Nothobranchius furzeri: one gene and its partners. The protein of the gene in region 6 purifies or fractionates together with the protein of the main gene of each other region. This does not show direct contact. Links are inferred from orthologs where the notes say so. Each region holds a gene or a part of one and is shown on either strand. Other genes may lie near its edges.

Evidence for each region.
Region 1: the proteins of prpf40a (region 6) and snrnp70 fractionate together in Homo sapiens (co-fractionation; 3 studies listed by BioGRID, with this or other methods). This does not show direct contact. The link is inferred for Nothobranchius furzeri from reciprocal best matches to the Homo sapiens genes PRPF40A and SNRNP70.
Region 2: the proteins of prpf40a (region 6) and sf3b1 purify together in Homo sapiens (co-immunoprecipitation; 3 studies listed by BioGRID and IntAct, with this or other methods). This does not show direct contact. The link is inferred for Nothobranchius furzeri from reciprocal best matches to the Homo sapiens genes PRPF40A and SF3B1.
Region 3: the proteins of prpf40a (region 6) and rbm25b purify together in Homo sapiens (affinity purification with mass spectrometry; 5 studies listed by BioGRID and IntAct, with this or other methods). This does not show direct contact. The link is inferred for Nothobranchius furzeri from reciprocal best matches to the Homo sapiens genes PRPF40A and RBM25.
Region 4: the proteins of prpf40a (region 6) and ncbp3 purify together in Homo sapiens (affinity purification with mass spectrometry; 3 studies listed by BioGRID and IntAct, counting the BioPlex papers as one, with this or other methods). This does not show direct contact. The link is inferred for Nothobranchius furzeri from reciprocal best matches to the Homo sapiens genes PRPF40A and NCBP3.
Region 5: the proteins of prpf40a (region 6) and RNA-binding protein with serine-rich domain 1 purify together in Homo sapiens (affinity purification with mass spectrometry; 4 studies listed by BioGRID and IntAct, counting the BioPlex papers as one, with this or other methods). This does not show direct contact. The link is inferred for Nothobranchius furzeri from reciprocal best matches to the Homo sapiens genes PRPF40A and RNPS1.

What each region holds. Positions count from the first base shown.
Region 1 is NC_091758.1:13,866,500-13,870,733, forward strand, and holds the start of snrnp70 (U1 small nuclear ribonucleoprotein 70 kDa), read left to right. Parts: upstream 1-1,434; 5' UTR 1,435-1,617; intron 1,618-1,893; 5' UTR 1,894-1,899; coding exon 1,900-2,046; intron 2,047-2,126; coding exon 2,127-2,189; intron 2,190-4,234. UniProt on the Homo sapiens protein: Component of the spliceosomal U1 snRNP, which is essential for recognition of the pre-mRNA 5' splice-site and the subsequent assembly of the spliceosome. SNRNP70 binds to the loop I region of U1-snRNA.
Region 2 is NC_091754.1:36,030,132-36,033,484, forward strand, and holds the end of sf3b1 (splicing factor 3B subunit 1), read right to left. Parts: coding exon 3,163-3,353; intron 2,821-3,162; coding exon 2,604-2,820; intron 1,014-2,603; coding exon 855-1,013; 3' UTR 501-854; downstream 1-500. UniProt on the Homo sapiens protein: Component of the 17S U2 SnRNP complex of the spliceosome, a large ribonucleoprotein complex that removes introns from transcribed pre-mRNAs.
Region 3 is NC_091742.1:8,418,762-8,422,717, reverse strand, and holds the start of rbm25b (RNA-binding protein 25b), read right to left. Parts: upstream 2,801-3,956; 5' UTR 2,614-2,800; intron 2,152-2,613; 5' UTR 2,134-2,151; coding exon 2,055-2,133; intron 1,929-2,054; coding exon 1,717-1,928; intron 1,576-1,716; coding exon 1,518-1,575; intron 1-1,517. UniProt on the Homo sapiens protein: RNA-binding protein that acts as a regulator of alternative pre-mRNA splicing. Involved in apoptotic cell death through the regulation of the apoptotic factor BCL2L1 isoform expression.
Region 4 is NC_091750.1:26,050,512-26,054,761, forward strand, and holds the start of ncbp3 (nuclear cap-binding protein subunit 3), read right to left. Parts: upstream 2,801-4,250; 5' UTR 2,266-2,800; coding exon 2,089-2,265; intron 1,763-2,088; coding exon 1,697-1,762; intron 965-1,696; coding exon 859-964; intron 773-858; coding exon 647-772; intron 539-646; coding exon 413-538; intron 331-412; coding exon 191-330; intron 112-190; coding exon 3-111; intron 1-2. UniProt on the Homo sapiens protein: Associates with NCBP1/CBP80 to form an alternative cap-binding complex (CBC) which plays a key role in mRNA export. NCBP3 serves as adapter protein linking the capped RNAs (m7GpppG-capped RNA) to NCBP1/CBP80.
Region 5 is NC_091752.1:58,150,434-58,154,641, forward strand, and holds the start of RNA-binding protein with serine-rich domain 1, read left to right. Parts: upstream 1-1,408; 5' UTR 1,409-1,530; coding exon 1,531-1,532; intron 1,533-2,434; coding exon 2,435-2,584; intron 2,585-2,680; coding exon 2,681-2,860; intron 2,861-2,939; coding exon 2,940-3,045; intron 3,046-3,347; coding exon 3,348-3,501; intron 3,502-3,598; coding exon 3,599-3,740; intron 3,741-3,814; coding exon 3,815-3,920; 3' UTR 3,921-4,208. UniProt on the Homo sapiens protein: Part of pre- and post-splicing multiprotein mRNP complexes. Auxiliary component of the splicing-dependent multiprotein exon junction complex (EJC) deposited at splice junction on mRNAs.
Region 6 is NC_091754.1:18,353,379-18,357,591, forward strand, and holds the start of prpf40a (pre-mRNA-processing factor 40 homolog A), read right to left. Parts: upstream 2,801-4,213; 5' UTR 2,705-2,800; coding exon 2,702-2,704; intron 1,457-2,701; coding exon 1,376-1,456; intron 1,294-1,375; coding exon 1,153-1,293; intron 340-1,152; coding exon 256-339; intron 18-255; coding exon 1-17.

The DNA of each region.
Region 1 (4,234 bases), on a different chromosome or scaffold from region 6:
TTGGTAGGTCACAAACCTGCTTGGCGTGAGTACATTCGTTTGCTGAGCTTAAGTACGGTTTTAGTAAGGATTCTACGCCATGTTTTATAAATGAGAGAGGGGCCTCATTTATCAAGCTTGCTTACTCACAAAACGGGGTCGGAAAACTGCGTGAGCAACTTTCCACGCAAACTTTGGGACTTATGAAAGAAAACCTGGCGGAAAAATGTGCGCAACGTTAAGGTAAGGTACCTACCTACTGCTCCAGATTGGTGTTTGGTGGGGTGTAAAATTGTGGTTGTACATGAGTTTCCTGCGTAGAAGAGCTTGTTTAAGAATGGGCGTCAACTTCATTGGCAGTTTTTTCTATTTTAAAATCACATGTAAGGACAAACTCAATTCCTCCAATCATATCAAACACTGGAGACAAAAGCTGATACCGATAGCGTTAGCTTGTTTTTTCTGCCATGTGCTCATTTTAGCCTAATTACAATGTTGCAGTTTCACTACTAATAATGTTATTCTCTCTAATAAAATAAAACAAAACATAAAATGCATTTGCAATTTGCTGTAATTATGCGCAAATACCCTTTGCTGAATTTGTGTGCTTTCCGTGGTGAATCCATTCACTGAATATTTTCAATCGGTAAACTTTTCAAAATGACCAGTCAGAAAACTTGTATTTTTAATTGAGATACCGCAACTGGAACAGGAAATAGCGCCGCCTTCAGTTCCGGAAAGCAATGGCACCTTTATGGGGAGAAAAAAAAGTTTCAAAAGATCTGTGAGTGTGTATCTAAATTTGTGTGTGTAACTCTTGATTTGTAACTTGTGTTTACATTTTTGTGTGTAACTTCAGTTCTTACACATACAAATCATTGAATACACACACACAAATCACCTGGTAATCACGGACAAAACTACATTACACACAGATCAGTTCCTAAGTCCAAAAATACTTTTAAGACTCTTTTCACACCTGACCATGCACCTGACTGATTTGTGCGCACATGGTGTGTTTGAATGCTGGATGGAAGCTGGGAAATTTGAATTCCTTTGGGTTTAGTCTAAACTTGTGTTGACGGGACAAATATGGTTTTCTGTGGAAAAATAGAGTATCTCAGGATCCTGTAGTTATACGAGATAAACCTACATTTAAATTTAAATTTTCTAAAATTGTTTATTTAGACATGTGTTTGTGAGCCATGAGAACATAGTGAAAGGGTTATAACAAATGACTAATAAATGGCAGAGTGGTTCTCTGACTGGAAAAAAGCACGGTTCAAAAGGAGAGAAGGCACGAGATGTCTCCTTTTGAACCTTTTCCATATATGGTCGTACCCTGTGCCCACTCCCCGCCCCGTGCTACAAGCTGCAGCGTAGACCTCCTTCTCTGTGAGCTTGGCGGTGTTCTCGACTTTACGGCAGTCTTTGTGGTTTACGACAAAACCGCCATTTTGTGTTGTTGAGAGACGGCTAACTAAGACATTTACACGAGACACGTTGGAGCTTTGAACCTTTAAAATTAAACCGCTGCTCGGACCCTTTAGAAGCACATCTTGCTTTGGAGAACTGCCCACTCGGCATCACCTCAGGTCCATGGTTTGATTTCGGTCGAACACCGGAGGAGAGAAGAAGGTAAGACGTAGCGAAGCTCGTGTTAGCATTGTTAGCTTAGGCTAAGACGAAGCGCTTCATAAAGTAAACGAAGAAAGGCAACAGTGCAAGTGAGAACGGACGTTTTTATAACTACAGCTCTACTATCAGTAGTTTTCATCATCGGGTCTAAGTTAGTTATGAGCGGATTTAACCAGGTGAAGATGAACCACAGTCATCAGAGTGTCGCTAGCTGAGTACCCGCCGCCCCTGCTCTGCGGTCGGATTGTGTAACAATCACACTCTGTCGTGTTTCAGTGAAAGATGACACAGTTTCTACCGCCGAACTTGCTGGCCCTGTTCGCACCACGGGACCCGATACCCTTCCTGCCGCAGCTGGAGAAGTTGCCCCATGAGAAGCATCACAACCAACCGTACTGCGGCATCGCTCCGTTCATCCGACACTTTGAGGTGAAACGCGCTCTAGTCGGTTTTCCTCTTCCTACGCTCGTCTCTGATGTGCCTCCTAAATGTTTGTGTTCTGGGATCAGGACCCAAGAGATGCCCCCCCACCGACCAGAGCAGAGACCCGGGAGGAGCGCCTGGAGAGGAAGGTGAGACCATCACTAGATTAGTGCAGGTATAATTAAAAGAGCAAATTGCAGGTAAAATTTGTTTTCTAATTCATGTAAAATGCTGTCCAAAAATACTAGCCGAAATGCTTATTGTGGATATTTCGTTTATGAACACACAACGGCACAGTTTTAGGAGTAAAAAGTGACTTTTCTCAGCAGAGCTTCTAAAAACGCTCCTTTTTTACCTGTCACGTAACTAAAGCCTCAGCTCAGTGGAGCAGGGTCCAGCCAGCCGCGGGCGTTTCTACTTGGGCTACAGAAAAACGCCTTTATGGGGGTTACTGTAGCTTCTCACCAACCAATCGGAATGGGCATCAAAATACGTAATTTCCCCTGTTAGACGTGTCAAAATAAAAGTCTAAACTAATTGATCGTGTGGCACCGCCACGGCAAAATAAAAGTCCCCACACCTCTCCTAATGTCTGAAAGAAGCTCCTTTACAAAGGGAGAAACGCTCCCGGTGACTTTCTACATCTGCGACAGAGACGGAGCAGCGCATTTGACCCCGGAAGTTGTTGTCCGTTGCCGGGAGACTAAGGCGGGCAAAACAGGAAAGGAATCTAGTAGCGGACGGACATTGTTCCTGGTCTTCGGTATTTGGGGGATGCTAGTGAAGGCGGAGAAGAGGGTGAACTAAAGGAAAAACAGGCAGATTCCTCCTCTCTTGACAAACTCCTGGGGATGCAACAAGTGGGCGCGGTGCGTCGACTACCGGATCTGACGTCGGCGAATTTTTAGAATCGAGCCGTCGACGCTTCGCTACAGCTCTAGTAATTACCCAACTTGTTCTTTCTGTATCTGATCTTTATTCGGGTTACTGTTGGCCCACACCTTAACTCCAGGAAAATCAACGTTAACAATCTCTTCTCTTTCTAAACAACCAAACCGAAACTCTCCACACAATCGGCAGAGAACACCCCCTCCAACACAAAAGTCCAACCATAACAAATCGTAACCCGTTGGTACAACAATGCAAAGCCAGAGAACAGATAGATGAGCAGAGAAAATCTCTTATTTTGGAATATCTGAGGTGAAGTAACATTTCAGGAGCGAATACGACGAAGTGGGTGTTCCTGTTTTGTAGGGATGTTCTCGTTTACAAACCACAATGCCCCTTTTAGCAGCTGGCCCGATGATGTTGGCTCAGTGTGTGTTTACTATGGTTGGTTGTGTTCATGTTGATAAACTAGAGTGTGTGAGAGTAGAGCTGCACCAACTCCAGCCTGTCTGGACATCGATTCCCCGGGTTTCCAGATAAGAGACACAACGCCTCTATCTTCGTGCCTGAGGGCGTTTCTGTAGCCCGCACCGGTCGGTACCGAGTCAGGGAAGTCCACGCTGGGCTCCGGAGACCCGTGGCGAGATTTTAAAAAAATTAAATGCAAGTTTTTGGAAGTCAGTTCTTCGTCAGAACCGATCACCAGAAGCGACGCGTGGCTGAGTCGAGCTGCCAAGCGTTAGCAGCGCGCTGCCGGTTACCGGCGGTTCTTACGGCTCGTTTTCTTTCACTCACCTAAGTTTTATTTCATGTTTTACTTTTTAATTCACACTGAAAACACAGCTGTAGGGGTTTGAAACGCTAGAGAGAAGCTTCTCCTTTTACTCAGACGTAAATACTCCCAGTGTTTTGGATTGGGGTCCTTCACCGGCTTCCAGCAGCAGCGGGCTGCCCGCGGAGGTGCCTGGCTTTAAATCGGCTCTACTAAAGAGACTTATCGGCCGATGATGAAAAAATGCAAAATATCGGCCTGATAAATCGGTCGACGCCTAGTTAGCACACAAGTTTAACCGTTAACTCACAAGACATGGGAATTGCTTTGCAACACTCCCAGGAGACGGAAAAGTCAGAGAGCGAAACGTCTCTTTCCGTGCGTTCGCGTCTCCCACCTGGAGCTGGCGCACAAGTATAACTTGTTACCTGAAACAACTGAGATATAACTGTCACTGAAACACACACGGTAATAGTTATTTAGGTTCATTAACCTGGGCTTTTTCAGATGTCTTCTGTCAACGTGCAAACACAG
Region 2 (3,353 bases), about 18 Mb from region 6:
AACTGTCAGTGATGTGCCGTCGTTAGGTGAAAACTACACTGCATTTGAATTTAAATCCGCCATCGCTATTGGCCAACAGGTTCACTATGACTTAAGCTGGTACATTATGATGTCACAATGTCGTGAGTCTGTTTGTATTTGTTAGCAGCTCCGCCCTCTCGGTCTGCCAGGCAACAGCATTTGTTGCATTTTTCAAACAGGAAGTGGGAGTGGGGTAAGACTCTGGTAGGGGGTGACTTGCTCTTTGAATCTAAAGCAGCGCTACATGTTTATACGAAAGCTAATCAAGTGCGACTATGAAGAATCCTTTAGCCCAGCAGCTTGCTGGAGAATCTGGGTCAGAAGATCTGCTGAGCAGCACTGAGCTGAGTGCAGGTTTGTCTCTGCTTTCCTCTTAATGACGTTAAATTTCCTACAGAAAGAGGGTCGGGACATGAAAGTCCTTCTAGAAGAAAGGAAGCATTAGAATGCTTGAATAAAGAAAAGCTTGCACAACAACGGTCTATACACAAACCTTTTATTTGGTTAAATAAAGCATTGATCCAATAAGAACAGGGATGGTGTGAAAAAAGGAGATGTGGGCGATACAGAGGTCTACAGGTGATCATTCACTCAAACAAACGGATGCAAATATTTAAAAGGGATTGTGATGATAGCTCTGCTTTTCTAAATCATCCGACATCAACTGCTTCTTACAGCAAACACAAAGTAAATAGTAAAAAATACATACAGACTCTACAGGCTCATTTATGCTCCCACGGAGAAGCTGGGTGTGAGCGACACACTGCCACTAAATGAAAATGGACTCGGAGGCGATAGAGAAACAATAAGAAGGGGAAATGATCTGTGTGTATTTACAGGACATACTCGAGCTCGTAGCGGACGTACACATTCTTCTCATCGTTGTAGACTTGTGGGTAATGAGCAATCAGGGCATCCTGAGAGCCGATGTAGATGGAGTTGTAAATCTTCCAGTAGACATCCCTCACCTTCCTGGCAGGGTGAAACAGGCCCTGTGCAGATCAAACAAAATGTAAATGTTGGGATTTCTCTGAGATGATTTGGAGGAAGAGTAGAATGTACAAAGTGTGCAGCTGTGTGTAGGCGGTGTGTCACAGGTTCAAAAATCACTTTACACATGTAAGCAGTTCATTTACCGAGCTTAAAGCTGCTATAGCGAATCTACATAACAAGCTAGGTTTCAAACGCAAACATGGTCACAGAACAGTCGTTCCTCCCTTGGTGAGATGCTTCTGCCAGAACTGGAAACCTGCGATTCCCGTGTGGTCAGAGGAAACGAGATGGTGCTAAACACCAGTCTAGGGCTGCAGTTACAGAATATTTCAGTATTGGAATATTGGTAACGCTTCCTTTTACAGTTCCCTAATTACTAAGTACATACATGGTAATTACATAGTAAGTAAAAGTGTATTATTGTTTCTGAGTTCTTAAACAGTTATTACCATGCAACTCAGACTTAATTCTAGTTTTTATTTTATTAATCTATCAAGTGACTACTGCTTTATACAATAACTACACCTTAGTACAATTATACGCTTTAATTACAAAATAACACACTTTAACTTACTGTGTAATTACCATGTAAGTACTTAGTAAGTAGGGGACTGTAAAAGGAAGTGTTACCACATTATTTTATCGAGCCCTCCATCGATTAATGGAATATTCTGTTTGACGACAGTTCAAGTGGAACGAGACAGTGGTCTGCTGCTAAGAATATGAAAATAAAACAACTAAGCTATAAAAGGCTCAATAATGTGTATTAAATTTGTGTTGTCTAGTTCCGTTTTTCCCCAGCTGATATTTATAATCTTCTTCTGCTTGTAGAGTTTAGTCATCCAAAACCAACGTGTTTTTCTGAACCCCACTTGATCACGATCATGCTACGCACTAGCTTAGCATTAGAAATTCTGCTCATAGTTCAACTCGATCCCAAACTTTGGGAGCGTTTCTGCCTTTGCTGATTATCCATTTCCCTCCACTGCACCTAGATTACCACATTGTACACTAGTAACATGTGTTCAGACTGTGGTGCGCACATTTAACGAAGCTTCGAATTAGTATAAAAAAAATAAATAAAAAAGAATTGAGGATTTCAATGAACTGAACCATTGAAAGATTCATGTAAGCCTATACCTGTCACCCTTTTCTAGGTCCAAATGCCTTTTGTTGTCCGTGACTTTAAATGGTGCTTTTTTCCTTTTTGGGACTCTGGTAGTTTGTCCTAAAGGTGAAGTGGTAGCAGCTGGCCGTTTCTCTTTCTCTGATATTAATGAGCGGAGAGCGTCTCACACCAGTGGTGTTCTGCTGCTAAATATGAGAGTGTGTGATGAGTGGAGGACCCAGGGAAGTGTGGCGGATTGGTGAGACCAACAACCAGATGGTCCAATAGTTGTTTTCAGTCTGAGCCGTGTTATTGGTGGAGGTTTTTAGACAAAAGACAGAACCGCTTTACCATTTTTAATGTCTACAATATATTTCTCGTTAAACTATGTTAGATCGTTGTTAAGAGACATGAATAAACCAACTTAAGTTTGAGTAAAGATTCTATGCATAGTTCTGTAACTGAAGCCCCTCCTCCTTACCTGTAAGCAGTACTGCAACATGCGGCAGGGTCCGATGGCGACTCTCAGCCCCTCCAGGGCACCCATGACAGCCTGGATGACATGAGGTGATGTCTCAAAGACGTTGGGCCACACGTAGTTTAGTAAATGGTTAAGAGAGTCCTCACAACCAAAACCGTAGACACCCAGAGACATGTGCTGAACCACAGCACTGGCGGTCTGTCTGTGGACCAGGTCCCTGCAGGGTGAAGAACAGAAACTGGTGAGATTGCAACTCCACAGTGAGGCCCTCAGCCGTCCCGGTTCTCTGATTAACTTTACATTCGTTTTCAGTGTTTCTATTAGCAACTACTTCTTTTCAGTAACATGAAACGTCACTGATCAGAATTCTAGAAAACAGATTTTGTTCCTCATACTTCTCAGAGTAACTTAAGTTCAAAGTAATGTCTAGTGTCTCAGAACAGAGCTGCTGCTGCGTGGCATTAAGCACTTCAGGATGAGGATCAGGCTCCAGCGCTGGATCAACCAGCTCCTAACCTTCAAACAATCATTAAGTTTTTCCCAGAACGCGGGGTCTTACCTGTCCATGAGAGCATCCTCCAGCAGTGGTGTGACAGCGTAGATGTAGTCTTTGCCCATTTCACCAATGTACTCAAACAGGAATGAGAGAGACTTGAGAACACCGTTTTGCACATTGAGCTCAGGCACTCTGTATTCATTCATCAACGCTGGCAGCACAGTGAAAGGAGAGCAGGTCTCTGCAACAATGGC
Region 3 (3,956 bases), on a different chromosome or scaffold from region 6:
TGAATTATATGCTACAACGGCTTGCCACAGTCCTGCGGGGATGGAGAAGACTCGGTAGCTGCTGCGGCGCTGCCCCACACCGCTGCAGAGGTCCACAAATAAAAGGGATGATGGGGATTTTTCTTCTGCTTTTAGAGTTAAGGCGTTCACAACCATCACGTTTTTTTCTGAACCACACTTGCTCGTGAGAATGCTACCCGCTAGCTTAGCATTAGAAATTCTGCTCGTAGTTTAACTCCTGATCCCAAACTTTGGACCGCCTCTGCTTTTTACAACGGTTTCTGTCTTTGCTGGTTTCTCCATTTTCCTCCACAGCACCTAGATCACCACATGGTGCTCAAGTAAAATGTGTTCAGACTGTGTTGCGCACATTTAACGAAGCTTCGAATCAGTACAAAATGAATTGAGGAATTAAATGAGTCGAACATTTCGAATCATTCGATGATTCTTTCAGCCCTACATGCAATTTCACATTTCTGGTGTACACTGTAGTTCTCAAATTTCCCTGTAAACAAATCTCTCCCGAAATATTTGAAATGTGTCTCTTTTCAAAGCAGAAAGAGAAATCAGCATAAGCAAGTAGGAATTGGTAACTTTGGTTGTTTTGCAACAGCCAAGCATCTCTGAATATTTGTATCATAACCGTTGAAAAACATAACATCTCTTTTAGCGATGCACCGATATAAAACTTTTGGGCTGATACCGATTTCCGATATTAATATCACTGTTATAGCCGATAACCGTTATTTGCCGATACAGATATACTGACATTTATGCTTCAAAATCAGCAGACTTGTATAGAATGAAAATTATTAATGCTGAATTTACGTTATGTACACACAACTAGGGATGGGTACCTTTGACATTTGAATCGATCCGGTACTAATTCCCGGTACCTACGAGTCGATACCGGTACTTAACGGTACCAATTTTCGATACTTTTGAGTGTTTATTATTTTAATTCTCTTTTATAATTAAATATATATTTTTCTCAATATATAACCATATTTGATAAATATCACGATAAATAACATACAAGTTTGTATTTTAACATTGTCCTTGTAGTTTTATAAGCTGATAGTTAAACTGAAGCAAACATCTTTACTGTGAACTAAATTTACTGTGTACTGTTGTGTGACACAACACACCATTTACGGTTCTGAGATGATTACATTCACTGTTCACATGACTAAACAATAACACATCACCCCCTCACCCTCTGAAACAGGCAAACAAATGGAGACGGGATGGAAAAAATATTGGTTGTCAATATCGGCCCGGTTTTATTTATCGAACCGATGTTAAAAAATGACTACCATCGGCCGATACCGATATTGATGCTGATATATTGTCCATCCCTAATTTCTTTGTTATTCACAAATGTGTGGTTTTTATTTGTTTAGTAAGAAGTTGCATTTCACACCTCTGGACCACATTGTTTTGTTTTCTTTAAGTGATCGCGAAAGTTAGCAATGAGAGTAAGCTACTGAAAGTTGCTGTGCAGAACTGTAAATCACCTTGAAGTTTGCCAGAGGCTCCTTGGACTCTCTTCCAGCTCAAAACAATACCACATTTCTGTAAACGTAGGACAATTACTAAAATAACATAATAAACACACACACACCATTAACAGTTAACAAAAATTATGCAAGCAGCATTTCTATATATGGATATTCAAAAGGTATGTGTAGTTTACACATATTTTCTAATTCTTACCGCCAGCAACTGTCTGATGAGCATGTCTGAAGCTTTCTCTGAAATGTTCCCCACAAACACGGTGGTGATAGGTCCACTGCTCTCTTCATCTTTGGCTCGCAGAGCAGAATAGTCTTTCTTTGGCATGGGAGGCTTACTGAGGACTGGAACAGACTGGACCATGACTGCAGGGGTGGGGGCCATGATGCCCATGTGGACAGGGATCATAGGAGCTGCAGCACATGCAACAAAAAAAAGTTGTTAAGACTGTGAATATGAAATTAATTAAATTATTACAAATAATGAGCATCTAAGAGGTGTCATGTTGCGTAATTTACGGGAGCCTGGTTGGTACTTACCTGTGGGGAAGCCAGCATACTGAGGAGGAATCCCAGGTGGGGGCAACAGCGGTCGATTTAAATGAGGAGGGAAGGACATTTTGAGGGTGAATGTGGCCTAAAGAAGACACATTAAAGGCCATTAGTGTTGTTTGCATAAGGTAAAAACGTCCAAACAGCTCAAGTAAAAACACAGAGGGAGCGAACATTAGTGTATCCACAATGAGGAAACACTGAAGGTCTCGGTGGTGAACATTACAAATCGATAGTGACTTTTATTTGACTTTGCTGGAACGTTAACTAAACTTAGCCAAACTTTGTGAGGTGCCATTCGCTAATTAGAAGTAACAAAGTCCAAACTTCTTAAAAATATTAACATCTCAACAATATTAAGACTAACCACACACAACAGCTAAGTACGCTAAAGCTAGCAATGAGCACGTTACCCGATATAACACCGGCACAGCTAAAATGCTAAAGTAACCTAGCCCGAGCAGATGTTAATTTATAATAAAACACTGACTTTCCCAAGGCTAAACATGAGCTCGAAGTAAATATAAAAGCCTCTACATATACCTACCACTCAACCAGGTGGCGTATGATGAGATAAAATCCACTAAAAATGTTAATGATAGTGAATTAATAGCTAACGTTCTGGACGCCTGATTAGCACGCTAGCTGGTCGCGGGCCCTCGAAAAGTTTGACGCACGCGCTTTAGGAGCAAGAGTACTGGCGCGCTTGTTTTGTGCACCAGAGTGTATACACTGAACGGGGCTTAATGTGAATTCGCAAAATGAACCCTTTTCAGGAAACGAAACTTCTGCTAACAGGGTTCGATCAGATTACCTAACTAACCTTGGAAGACCTAATGCGCGGTAGTAACTAAATGAATAAAAAAGGTTGAATAATAATAGCATTGAAATTAAGTTACACCAAAAAAGCGGTCCGCATTTTTTTTATTAAAACGATTTGTTTCTAATCGGTTTAATTTACAAAACATCTGATCACATAAAAAAACAGCATTGTGATTTTCCTACTCGTTTTAATCAATTAGAGGATAAAGCCATCATATGATTATTTCAATGTTAAACTTCTTTTTAAATGTTTTTTAAAAGAGTACATAAAAATTCTGTGTACATTATTGTTAAAATGGTCATTCTTACCAATTCTGAAATTGTAACTAATAAATAACATATTCTGTATGCAAAGTATGACTGTACTTCTGTTATTTATCACTGAGGTTACTATCTAAATTTATAAATGTGTCTTCTGTAGTTAAACTACATAATAGAAAGCTGAATCATAATCATTTGTGCATCTCTTGCATTTGATGGGTCTAACTGCGTACATTTATTCCACTCTAATCCACTTGACAACAGTGACTTCTTCCCCTTACACTGTACTAAAAACTCAATTCCAAAGTCGTGATCAACATGACAAATATAGTATTACATTTATGTATAGCAGTCCATCTTCCACTGGTGTTCTATGTCCATAAGAAAATCTGTAATTCATATAATAACAACCATTAGTTCATTTGACAATATAAAGCATATATTCTCATGATTCAGTACGGAAAAGGGTTGAGTTGATGGTTGTTAAGGCGTTTTTGCTGTAGGAACATTTTGTGACAGATGATACGTCGGGAGAGGAAAGGGGGAGATCTGTGACGTCACTTTAAGGCGGGGCTTTCATGGAAAGTGCTAGAAGCAGGCTAGAAGAAACGAAGCACACCTTCTCGTGTTTGAAATATTCATCCGTCGGAGTAAAAAGACCCACAGTCTATGTCGAATTTCAGGGAAACTAGACGCCACTTGAGATTTGAACTTGACGCGTGGTTTTAGTGTTATGCGAATCATTTCTCTATGTTGTCGCTAGATGGGATGATTGAGATCAAAAAACATCGCCTCTCAGTGCATGGT
Region 4 (4,250 bases), on a different chromosome or scaffold from region 6:
ACCTTGTGTAGCAAAGCGCAGAAACAGTTTGTTTCCTTTAAACGGTTTGATGGCAGGTCTCAGCTCGTTCCTCAGCAGCGACTCCCTCTCAGCTGCTGACAAGTCGTCCACCTGACAAAAACCGCTGAGTCAGTCATTGGTGACACACAAACTGCTGAGTCACTTTGTGACATCACAGTAAACGCTCTACCTGGCCACCATCCACCTTCCTGTTCTGGTCCACTTCTTCATCACCATTCTTCTTCACCTCCTCTTCCACCTCTCCCTCCTCCTCCTCCTCTTCATCATCATCATCATCATCCTCTTCTTCCGACCCTCGAACCCGTCGAGCTGTGATGTTAAAACAGATTAGATTACCTATAATGCACCACACCTTCATGACATGTTCAGTTCAGTCGTGACTCAGACCCACTTTTGTTCCGTTTGCCCGGCTGCTCGCTGGACTCCGTCTCCGTGACAACAACCTCTGGTGTGGGCATCTGGCTGGAGTTGATGAGAGCTCTGATACAGGTGTCATCATCCAGCCAAACTACGTTACCTAGGCGACAACAGGACAGGTGAGATGCTGCTGAGCAGCACTGCTGTCCTGGACCTCTGCTCTGATTGGAGCAGAACGCATTTTGTTACTCTCATGTTCGTTACTCACAGGAAGTGTCATTGATCCACTCAATGTGGGCTGGAGGATACTCCCTGAAGTACCCGAACACATCCTGCGTGCTCATGTCGTCCACACCACTCACATGGATCGCCTCCATCCGCAGTTTAAAGATGGCTGAGCACCACAGAAGAAGAAAGCTACAGTTCCATAAACCCAAGCAGACTGCTGTTAATGATTTGAAACAGAACACCGGCTCACACCTTTCTTCATGGCATCTTTATCCAGGAAGACGTTCCTCTGACCAACGCTCTCCTCACAGCGGAAGTGGAAACGTCTTGCTCGTTTCTCTTTCCTCTCAAACGCTTCCTGACAAACAAAACCTACAATCAGATACCCGAGACTTGAAGATCACTTTTACAACTGAAATCATTAACAATGATCAAATATGAGCTAAAAGTGTTTCCTGATTATGTTCAGATTTCACAAAATGACCTGAGCTTGTCCTTTATGAGAGCAACATTTACAATCAACAGGAACAGACAAGAAACAACAAACCAGCACCTGCTGTCGCTGAAGTACAGGTGGTACGTGACATCACAGCATTGCATTCTGGGTACTTGAGGCTACATGGGCATAAGTGAACTACCAGCTGCTGTTCCAGAGAAGACGGCGTTCCCAACAGACAACTCGAAGATGGGTGGCGATTATCTAGAGCAACCTAACCCTAACCCAGCGGTCAGAGGAGGATTGGGTTGTGGACTGACGACCCTGCTCAAACCAGTAAGCCGTAGATCTGTTAGTCTGAGCCTTCATCATCTGGAATGTTTAAAATGACGTGGTTTTATCTGAGCGGTGGTCACTGCTGATCCTTGCTCCCATCCATCATGAGGTATGGCAAGCTGTTGTGTGTCACATGAGAAGCACCGCTGTACCTGGCACAGGAGGAGAAGCTCGAACAACTAGTTCTCAGATGAAAGCTCGCCCTTCCCAGAATGTGCTCCTAATCATGAAGAAGCCTCAGCTTGTTAGACCTGCTCGCAGGATGCACTAAAACATCCAGGAGTGTTTCTCCAGCTCAGGTGTGTCCGGTTCCGGTACCTTCGAGTTCACGTCTATCCCGGTGATGAACGCTCCGGCCTTGTTCTCGTACCTCCGGCTGGTGTCCTGAAAACAGCAGATCCAGAATCAGCCTGAGGAGCTTTCCCGGGGGGAGCCCTCACCTTGTATTGTTTACGTTTGTGTCATCTACCCTTGACAGAAACAAACAAACTCCTGGCTTTTATTCATCTCTCGGACTACAAACAAGTAGATTTTAAATTGTGATTTTTCTTCATTAACGAAACCTTTGACTTCAAAGCCATTAAACGGAGACAGAAACCGCGGTTGCTAACCGGGGAGAGCCGCTGCTTCAGCGCCGGCGCCTCCCGCTGCTCGGCCGGCGGGAGGCACACGCGAGTCCCCGGTCTATCGAGGCCTAGTCGGAAACTTACCGGGAGCAGCTCCTTCAGAGAGCGGTTAACCGAGATGTCCTCCGCCTCCAGCTCTCCCTCCTCCACCTCCATTGGTTCGGCCTCACGGGCATCTCGATCTGACTCGGAGTCTGAGTTCGGTTCCGAGCGATCCGAACCGCTGTCTGATTTAACCTGTAAACTGCGCACTGCCGCCATGGCGCTAACTGCAGCAAACAACCGCAGGTGGTGCTGCGCTGAATCCTGCGACAATTCAGCGCGCTTCTTCTTCTACGGTGCAATTTTTTTTAAACAATCTTTATTGACACATTTGCAGCAGACAAGACATAATATATTGACAAAACAACATCGATGTACAGGGTGTGATACATTGACAAACAGAGAAGAAAAAGAAAACACTGTTAATGAAAGTAAACATAAATAATTATATACAAACAAAATAACATAAAATAAAACAAAATTCCACTAATACATTACCTTGTAATATGGGGCATAATAGAATTCATCAAGTTGCATATTTTCACAGCTTTCTTGTTTTTACTAATTCTACGTACAGTCTCATGAAAAAAATTAAGAACAATATAAAATAAAGTTACATTTGGTATAGTCTGTAGAAATCTGACTTTATGAATGTGAAATTTACCCAACAGACACAGCAATTTTATTACATTGTTAACTTCCTTGTTACATTTAACGTTTAAGAATAAGACCATACTTTCATTAAAAGTAATCAATATTTTATGAGAATCCCAAACTAATGAAGACAATTGATTCCAAAACTGTACAACTAAAGGACAACCATAAAACAAATGAGTAAGAGACTCAACACCTGTTTTGCAAAAGGAACATAAAGGGGACACATCAGGTCTAAATCTATTAATAAATTCATTACACGGATTATATCTATGTAAGATTTTCAAGTGTATTTCTTTAACTTTATTGGGGACAAAAAATTTCTGAACCTCAGAAAAGGCATTGCTACTGATGTCAGGAAACATTACCCTCCAACGATGTAATGAATTTGGAACCTGACTATATAGAGAGGTGAAAACGGCTCTAATGTGAGCATTGTTACATGAGTGCTCTTCAAGAAGCTTTCCACCAAGACACAGTGCAGGAATCCTTCCTGTGTAAGGTGTATACTGAACAGGAGCTCTGACAAGAGACAGTAAATGAACAGGAATGCTTTGGAGGATTCTAGAGTGCATAGCGAGAGATGTGTTGAACCCCTTTCGTTGGATGAATTCATCATAGGTAGCTAGGTCCCGTTATCATTCAAAAGATCAAACACAAACATAACACCTTGATCATACCAGTCTTTGTAAAACAGAGTCTTGTTCTTGTGAGCAATATGTTGATTGTTCCATAAAGTACATGTGTGAGGGGAAAAGTTGTGTTTGAAAGCCATTTTCCAAGTGTCCAGGGCTTGTTTGTGAAAGTTGGCCAGTTCAATAGGCAGTTTATCTGAGGTAAAGTTGCATGAAAGCAAGAACTTTAAACCGCCACATTTGTTAACCAAAAAAATTGGGAATAAAAAACCATGGTTCATTATTATGTGAAAGACAATGTTTTAACCAATTAATTTTGAATATATTGTTGATAGTTTGGAAATCCAATACATTAAGACCCCCCTCTGAAATGTGTCTAATAAGTGTTTTCCTCTTTACATATTCATTTTTATGTTTCCAAATAAACTTAAATAAGAGTGAATCAATAGCTGCACAGGTTTTCCTATCAACATATAAAAATAAAGCTGGGTATACTAACCTGGATAATCCTTCAGCCTTGGAGAGTAAAACACGACCTATAATGGTAAGATCCCTCTGTAGCCAGCAATTAAAGACAGATTTAGATTTCTCAATTTTAGGGTTGAAGTTTTTTGAAATTCTTTCACTAGAGGATTTGCTTAATGTGATAACCAAATATTTAACTTCTTTTTTAACCTCTATGCCATCTATTGATACGGTGTCTAAATCATGTATGGCTAATATTTCACATTTTCTCTTATTAACTGTGAGACCAGAAGCATCCGAGAACCTGTTTAAAGCTTTAATAATAACAGGGACTTGAAGATCATTTTGAAGAAAAAGGCTGGTATGACTGGCCAGCTTACTGATGGTTAGAACATCTTGACCTGTTTTAATACCTTTTACATTCACACAGTTAACAATGAAAAGATTAAG
Region 5 (4,208 bases), on a different chromosome or scaffold from region 6:
CAACACAACAACTCCCTCCCAATAGAGGCTGACGACTCATCAGGGGATGGAGAAGCGGGTACCCAGAGTAGTTTTGGCTCGTTAAATAACAATAGACAGCTTGACTCTCCCATATTCCAGTTAGAATTGACAAAGCTCCTCAGATGAGAAGCAAATTGTCTTCAAGAAACTAAAGAAGTCCAGTTGCCTTCATCTGAACCCTTTGGGTTACCATGACCTGGATGACTGAGAACCTTCATCAGCATATCTACACACACGTTTTACTTCATGATCTCAAGCACAAGTGAATGGGACATAAATGTAGGTTTTAGGGCTGTGCAGGTATTGAAACCAGATTTTAGGAAAAGTGAAGTTTTTTTAAATGAAATAATGTTTCTGCAAATAAAAATCTACTTTCAGCTCACACTTGATTCAGAAATGAACATGTATAATCAACATACCGTATGTAGCATCCAGTCACATGGCTGCAACAAAACCTCAGGTTAAATATTTTTTAATCATCCATTTAAATAGATAGATGTTTATGTATTTTGCAGACGCTTTAGTCCAAACTTTGGATTCCAAAGTGACTTACAAGTGATAATCAGCATGTTGCCCTTGAGGCTAACAACAACAGTAACAACAACAAACAATTTCCAGTCAGTTGGTGGCAGTGAGGCAGCATGATGAATCATGGAGAACAAGGAGTGGACAGTAGAGAGGGGATGGGTGCAGGGAGGGTGCTAGTTTAGAAGATGTTCTCTGAAGAGCAGGGTCTTCAGGAGTTTCTTGAAAATAGATGGACCATTAATGCCTCAGTTAAACATGGTTATTTGAAAGGTACAAATAATCAACTCCAGTAATCAGGAGACCAAATAATTAATCTTTTATAAAACAAGCATGAGGCTGTTTCACGCATGTGGATATGAGCTCACTTAATAAATCCTGGTTAAACCATGGTGAAATTACAGGCATGATGCATGATCATTTCACCTTTTTACTCCGGAATCCTTAAAAAAGAAATCCAAACGGTGAACGTTTCAAAACACAAACCAAGCCCCAAAACTTCCATTCTCAATGAAAACAGATTAATATGAATTTATTGATGCAGTCCGTCAATGGCTGTGATCTGTGTCTTCTTAAAGACAGCTGTTAACACTGTCCTAACGCGTAATGCGCTACAGCAACGCAACAGCTCAAACCGCATCTACATGTCAACATTGGACACATATCTACAGGAAAACAGATGCTAGCTGAGCTAGCTGTCAACAACATCTGTCATTAATGTACCTCTCTCTCTCTGTCAACAACAGCGAAGCCCCACCACCGTTTCAAACTTGACAAACTCATTTCATATCCAAAAGCGCGTCCGTCTGTGTTTCTACAGAGATGTCGGAAATGCAAGCTGATATTTCACCGTCAACGTCGTAAAATAAACAAATGAGTTGTAAGTGGCGCTCAAGCAGGAACGCAACTTCCGCTGGCGTCATCAACCGTCGACAAGCGAACAGGCCGCAAGTGGTGGAAGCAGAGCTACATCGTCCATAAAAAATGTAGGTTTGAGCTCTTTCCTGGCTTAAAACTGTCCGTTTTTAGTTGTGATGCTTAGTTAATCAACTCTGAAAACCCAGGCGTGTTTTACCGTCGTGTGCTTGTTGCGTGAAGAGCTGAGTGATCGGTTAACGGCATGGTCGGAGCTCTCCTTGTTTAGAGGCAGCGGGCTGAATGAAACTCGTTGGCGGCGGATTTCTGCCTGAGTGCTGCTTTTTCCTATAATAACATAACAAATGTTTACGATTTCCAGCAGACATTTGGTGCTCCCTAAACTATGTGTGATGTGGATTGTTTTTATTTATTTCAGTTATAAATCATGTATATCGTGTTTAGTCTCTTTCAGCTAGCTTACGGCTTGAATTTTTGGTGCCAGATAAGTTGTGTAATATTAGGAGAAAAACGTTATTAGTTTTTTTTATCAGTTGCTTTTACATTAAGGGATTTATTTTAAAATTGAGACATCAGTGTAGTTTTGATAAATGTTCAAGAAAATAAAATTATAAAAATCTTTGTTGCACAAAAGGAAATAAACCTACTGGGGTTTAATTATTCTAAACAAAGAGACAGAAGTTTATTGACTAGTCTGTTGTTTTAACAGCTGGAATAACAACTTAGCGTTCTGTGGTAATTCCACAGTAATGGTAGTGCATCACACTAAAGAAATATTCCTTAGCATTAAAGATTAAACACAACAGTTAAAATGTTGCTTTGTGTTTCATTTTAACTGACAGAAAACACAAAATACACTTTTTGGGTTTCATTTTCAGCTTGTTGAGATTACAGATTAGACCCAGATTTGAATTCTGCATGAATTTGAACATTCCCACAATTTGTAGCTCTTAGATTTGTTAAATCCATTTGTGTAAAACAACTAAACTAACAGATGTTTACATCACTTTAGGGCACCATCTCCTACGAAAAGGAAGGAGGAAGAAAAATCTAAAGATAGGGGCAAAGAGAAGACTGCCACCAAGGAAGGAGACAAAGAGAGAGGACGGGACAAAGTAAGGAAACGTCGTAGTGCCTCTTCTGGAAGCAGCAGCAGCAGCAGGTCTGAGTTCCTTCTCATTTGTTATATCACTAGAGAAATCTGTGCTAAAAATTCCTAACAAACCATTTCATTTGTTCTGATTGTGACCGGATCCAGATCTAGCTCATCATCCAGCAGCAGCTCTGGTTCTAGCTCAGGTTCCTCGAGTGGATCCAGCTCTTCTGGCACCAGTCGATCTGGATCGTCCAGCTCTCGATCGTCATCCTCCTCCAGCTCCTCTGGCTCGCCGAGCCCCAGCCGCAGGCGCCATGACAACCGCCGGCGCTCCCGATCACCGTAAGTCTTTGTTCGTGTCTCAGTGTTTACGATGACTTTTGGTTTCTAGTTATTTATTTACTGCTTTCTGATTTTTCAGGTCTAAAACACAGAAGAGAGGAGAGGACAAAGAGCGAAGGAAACGAAGCCCGATTGTCAAACCCACTAAGGTTCACTTAGGAAGGCTGACCAGAAACGTTACCAAGGTTAGCTTAAATGAAGAACATCTGCTTTCTCTTTCTCATCATGTCTGCTTTTATTTGAGACTATGATGCAATCTCAAGGTTATGTAAGTGCACAAGAACAGCCACGCACATCCTTAATGTGTAGTAATTAAAGATAAAATCTGAGAAGATTTTCTTGTGTGCATCGGGTGTGTTAGTCATCAGCAATGCTCTGCTCAAAACAAAAAGGAGAAAATAAAGAGTTTGTTTTATTTGTTTGGCATCAAGATAATTTTGTGTCAAAGTTGAGAGAATATCTGACCTTTCTATTTCTGTTGTACCAGGATCACATCCAGGAGATCTTTTCCACTTATGGAAAAATCAAAATGATTGACATGCAGATGGATAGGATGCACCCACACCTGAGCAAGGGCCATGCTTATGTGGAGTTTGAGACCCCTGAGGAGGCACAGAAGGCCCTTAAACACATGGACGGAGGTTGGTGTGCATGTTCAATTTAACAGCCTCTGGGTCTCAGGAACACTGGGGGTCTTTTCTGTGTGTTGATTATTTTTTATGACTATTATAAAAACAGGTCAGATTGACGGACAGGAAATCACAGCCGCTGCTGTTCTGCCTCAACGGATCCGTCTACCACCTCGCAGACTGTCTCCTCCTCGCAGAATGCCCCCACCACCTCCTATGTGGCGGCGCAGCCCACCACGCATGAGGAGGAGGTATCGCCTACAGACAGTTTCAGCCATAAACACACACACGTGTACAGGTAATAATGCCGTTTTTGTTGTTTCAGGTCTCGTTCTCCAAGGAGACGATCCCCGGCACGTCGCCGTTCCCGCTCCAGGTCTCCTGGTCGCCGGCGCCATCGCTCTCGCTCCAGCTCCAACTCCTCCAGATAAACTCATTCAGATGTCATGTGGTTTTCTACGCTGTGATGCTGATCAGCTACAACCCTCGTTTTCTCAGACTCCTTTGACTCAGTAGAAATGCCATCATCTACGCTGTATGTGTGGTCATAGCAAGAGTGCTTCTGTTCCATTTGATTTTTTCTTAAATTTTGTGCTAAGTTGATTCAGAAAAGTTAGCTTAGTTTTATGTTGCCTCTACCGGGATCTACAAACATTTTGTTTCCTTTTACCTTGTATTACGTCCTTTTAACTTTTAAAAAATAAAGATGCAGAAACAGA
Region 6 (4,213 bases):
GTGGAGTCAACACCTGGCTGTGGAGAAAAAAAAAACATTTATTTGTGATTTACCAGTGACAGATACAAGAAAATTCACAGATTAGGTTGTTTTTCTTTACAAATATAAATAAAAAATATAAAAGAGTTACTTATACGTGTAAATGTTAGCATCAAACAGACTGCAGGTTATTTATAAGACGTGTGAAGCATCAAACACCCTGCTTTAGGGAAAAAAAAAAAAGAAGAAGAGGAGAAAAAATGGTGATAAAATTACCGGCCCCGTCGGTTGTACAGATGCAGCTGGGATGCGAGGTGGGATCATCATCCCCGGCATCATGGGCGGCATCATGCCTGCCATCTAATAAAAGAAGCGTTGTGAAACACTCATCTGCAACATTTGAAACCAAACTAGTGAAGGTGCCAAGTATTAAGACACAGTGTGAGAACGGGTGTCTGCGTTGTAACTTGGAGGAAAAAGGTGGGACTGGAGCTGAGTGCTTCTCTTATTTAGCTGTGTGAATACTTAGAGACACCAAACTGCATCTCAACTTCTCAAACTGGTGACACCTTTTCCCAAAATAAAAATAAAAATCACATTTTCAGTGTATCATGATCACATGCACTTACCAAAGTGAGCAAAAAAAATGCTTATTTGGTTTTAATTAAAAATAAAAAGGGGAATGAGAATATTGTAGAAGTAATTAGTCAACCAGTTACTTAACTTTGTATTCAGACCATTTTAAGAGTTGATATATTTTGACTTTCTGATTGAATCTGATAGTCTGCATGTTCTCCCTGTGCATGCGTGGGTTCTCTCCGGGCACTCCGGCTTCCTCCCACAGTCCAAAAACATGACTGTTAGGTTAATTGGTCTATCTAAATTGTCCTTAGGTGCGAGTGTGTGTGTGCATGATTGTTTGTCCTGTGTGTCTCTGTGTTGCCCTGCGGTGGACTGGCTCTCTGTCCAGGGTTTACACCACCTGATTGCCCATTGACCGCTGGAGATAGGCACCAGCCCCCCCGCGGCCCAACGTGGACAAAGCAGGTCAGACAATGGATGGATGGATTAAATCTGATTTACATGTAATGGTTGGAACAAAGAAACGATAAAGAACTACAAATGCACAAATATGTAGGCCAAATATATTTTTTAACAAAAACAGAAGTCTACCTGTCCCATTGGTGGTGCAGCCATAGGTGGCATAATGCCAGGGGGCATTATACCAGGTGGCAATGGGGTCATACTGGGTGGTCGCTGGGCCATAGGAGGAATTCCCATGGCAGGGTAGTGAGGCATACCCGGCGGTCCCATCTAGTCATGGAATTACATTACAAGATGTCAGAAAATAATAAATAAATAAATAACAGTTGTTGTAAACATTTTCATAACTTACATATGGGGGAGGTATTGCTGCGGGGGGTACAACTGGATAAGACGCTGCCTGACTCGAGCCAGTACTGTTCTCTGATGAAGACTGTAATAAGAACACCACAAATGTAGTAGAACATTAGCAGTGTGTGCATCATTCATTTACTTTAAAAAAAAAAGTCCAAACTTTTGACAGGATGGCACAATTTGTAATGTAGAAGCCTGAAAGGTCAGAGGCCACTAGAAACAAGTTTCAGTGAGTATTAGGGTCTCGGTTGCAGCAGGGACATTTCTGGGAGCCAGTTTTTTTCCACAGCCATTGCAATGCTTTATGTAAAAACTGCCGCACAGGCTTGAATATCTGCTTTAAAACTTTGATATTGCACCATAGTTAAAAAAAAGTTCCAATTTTTTAGTTGCTGTTTTTAGTGGTAGGTTACAAAAAAATGCTCACTGCCTGTGTGTATTTACCTGTACCTTTGTTAATTTTTTCATTCTCCCTGGTTTTTTTTTTCAATGTATGCGCTGCTGTAACGAGTGAATTTCCCCAATGTGGGATTAATAAAGTCAATTCTATTCTTCATCAACTCATTTGATCCAATTTCTGACTGCTGACAGCAGTTTTATTCATTTTGTACATCCGGCCCTGCTGTTAAAATGTGTTAATATTTTATGTATGGCTAAAATATGATCTAACACACGAATTTAAAGTAAAACAGAGTCATCACATTTCCCATCAACACCAAAGATGTGGGAACAGCTAAAATACTGGATTGCAATTAACAATGTTCCCACTAAATGTGGTTAACTGACATAAACACGGACAGTAAATTGAATTAGTCCGATCTTATCTTAAATTATTAAACGTACACAGCCGTTTCTGCAACGGTGGTTAGGAGTCCTGACAATGATAGCAGCTAGTTTTGATTAAGAATTACTACACTGGCAGGCTTCGTCTAAATCCTGGGAAAATTGTTAAAGGTGAACGGCAAAACTTTAACGAGTTAATAAATGGCCCCTGTTTACACCCCACGCTAGAAACACCGTTAAGAGTGCCTAATGAAGTGACACATTAACAAGTCAAAACATCTCTAGTGTTGCTTGAACTTTAGATTTTGCACTGCAGCTTTTATTCCGGGTGATACACTACGCCATGACATGATATGCGGCTAAACTCAATGCTAACACATACGCTAACCCGTGGTCTACAGCAAAACATCGCTCTCCTTCGCAGCAAAAGTAAAGACGCGGATTTTATAACGAAAAAAATATATATCTCATTCGAACCACCGCTAACTTAAAACGGTATTATCTTTGTTCCAGAACTTTTCTTAAGAGCGGCTACACTCACCATGTTGACGAGGACCTCTGCTAAATCCGAACACCTTTCAGCAACGACCACAGCGATTGGTTCAAGCTGCTCGTGACGAAGGTAGGTCAAATGATGAGCTTCTTTAATGACATCCTGCGTCGAAAATGCGCATCACTGCAAGAGACTGCGCAATCAAGACACGAGCTCGCTTGAGTATCACAAAATAAAATAAACATTAAATAATTTTTTTAAATAAATACATAAAAAAACTTGAAATATCTGGCACCAAGCCAGCCTAAGGCTGTCTATATCCCTATTTATCAGTCTCTATCTCTATATATCAAAGGTGTGACCAAGTCACTGCTTTGCAAGTCACATGTCTTTCCAGTCAAGTCTCAAGTCAAGTTCAAGTGAAAGACAAGTCCAAGTCGAGACCAAAGTCAATAATGTGAAAGTCCAAATCAAGTCCAAGTCCTTATCTTTGAATTTTCAAGTCATAATGAAGTCATCTGTCAAACTTCAATTTAATGACAATGATAATAAATAAATTCCAGAAATAAAGCTTCTGAAAGCTTAATACATTTGCTCAAACAAGCAGAAAGTGCAACTGAAATTGATTATAAACAAAGTGCTGCTGCATTAGCAGTACAAAATCAAACCCAGAACGAAGAATGATTTATGATTTTTGTCCATGTTGTGCCACTTTTGTTCTAAAATATCAAATATGCTCAAGTCATCATCAAGTCAACAGATGCAAGTTGATTCAAGTCGCAAGTCATTGGCGTTCAAGTCCGAGTCAAGTCGTAAGTCTTTATAGATTTTATCAAGTCAAGTCAGAAGGCATTAAAATAAGTCATGTGACTTGAGTCCACACCTCTGCTATATATGTTCATTTATTTGGCAGACGCTTTTATCCAAAGTGACCTACAATTGTAACCTATAGGGTGCTTCACATAAACAAACAAACAAAAAAATCAATTAAAGTATCAAAAAGTTATTAATAATATGCTTAAAATGAGAAAAAATATTACATTTGTGATTAAAGAAAAATAATGTAAGCAAAGGGAGAGAGACAGTGAATAGGGAAGAGGGAAATCAGTAGATCAAGATAAAGTAGATAATGGTGGAATAAGTAAAAAGAGCAAAATAAAGAAAGGGTGGTGAAAAAGGTCACACAAAAGCCAGCTTGAAAAGGTGGGCTTTCAGCTGCTTTTTAAAGGAGTCCACTGATCTCATGCTCAGGGGGAGAGAGTTCCAGAGTCTGGGGGCCACAGCAGCAAATTATCTATCACCTTTGGTCTTTAGCCTGGTGTGCTGCACAACCAGTAGGCTTTGGTCGCTGGACCTCAGGGACCTGCTGGGGGTGTAGGGACTGAGAAGATCACCAATGTGTGATGGTGCTTGTCCATGTAAGGCCCTAAAGACCAGAACCAGGATCTTGAAATGAACCCTGAAGTTGACTGGCAGCCAGTGACGCTGGAGGAGAAGCAGGGTGATGTGGTGTTTGGAGGACTTGGTCAGAAGCCGAGCACAGGCATTCTGAACCATCTG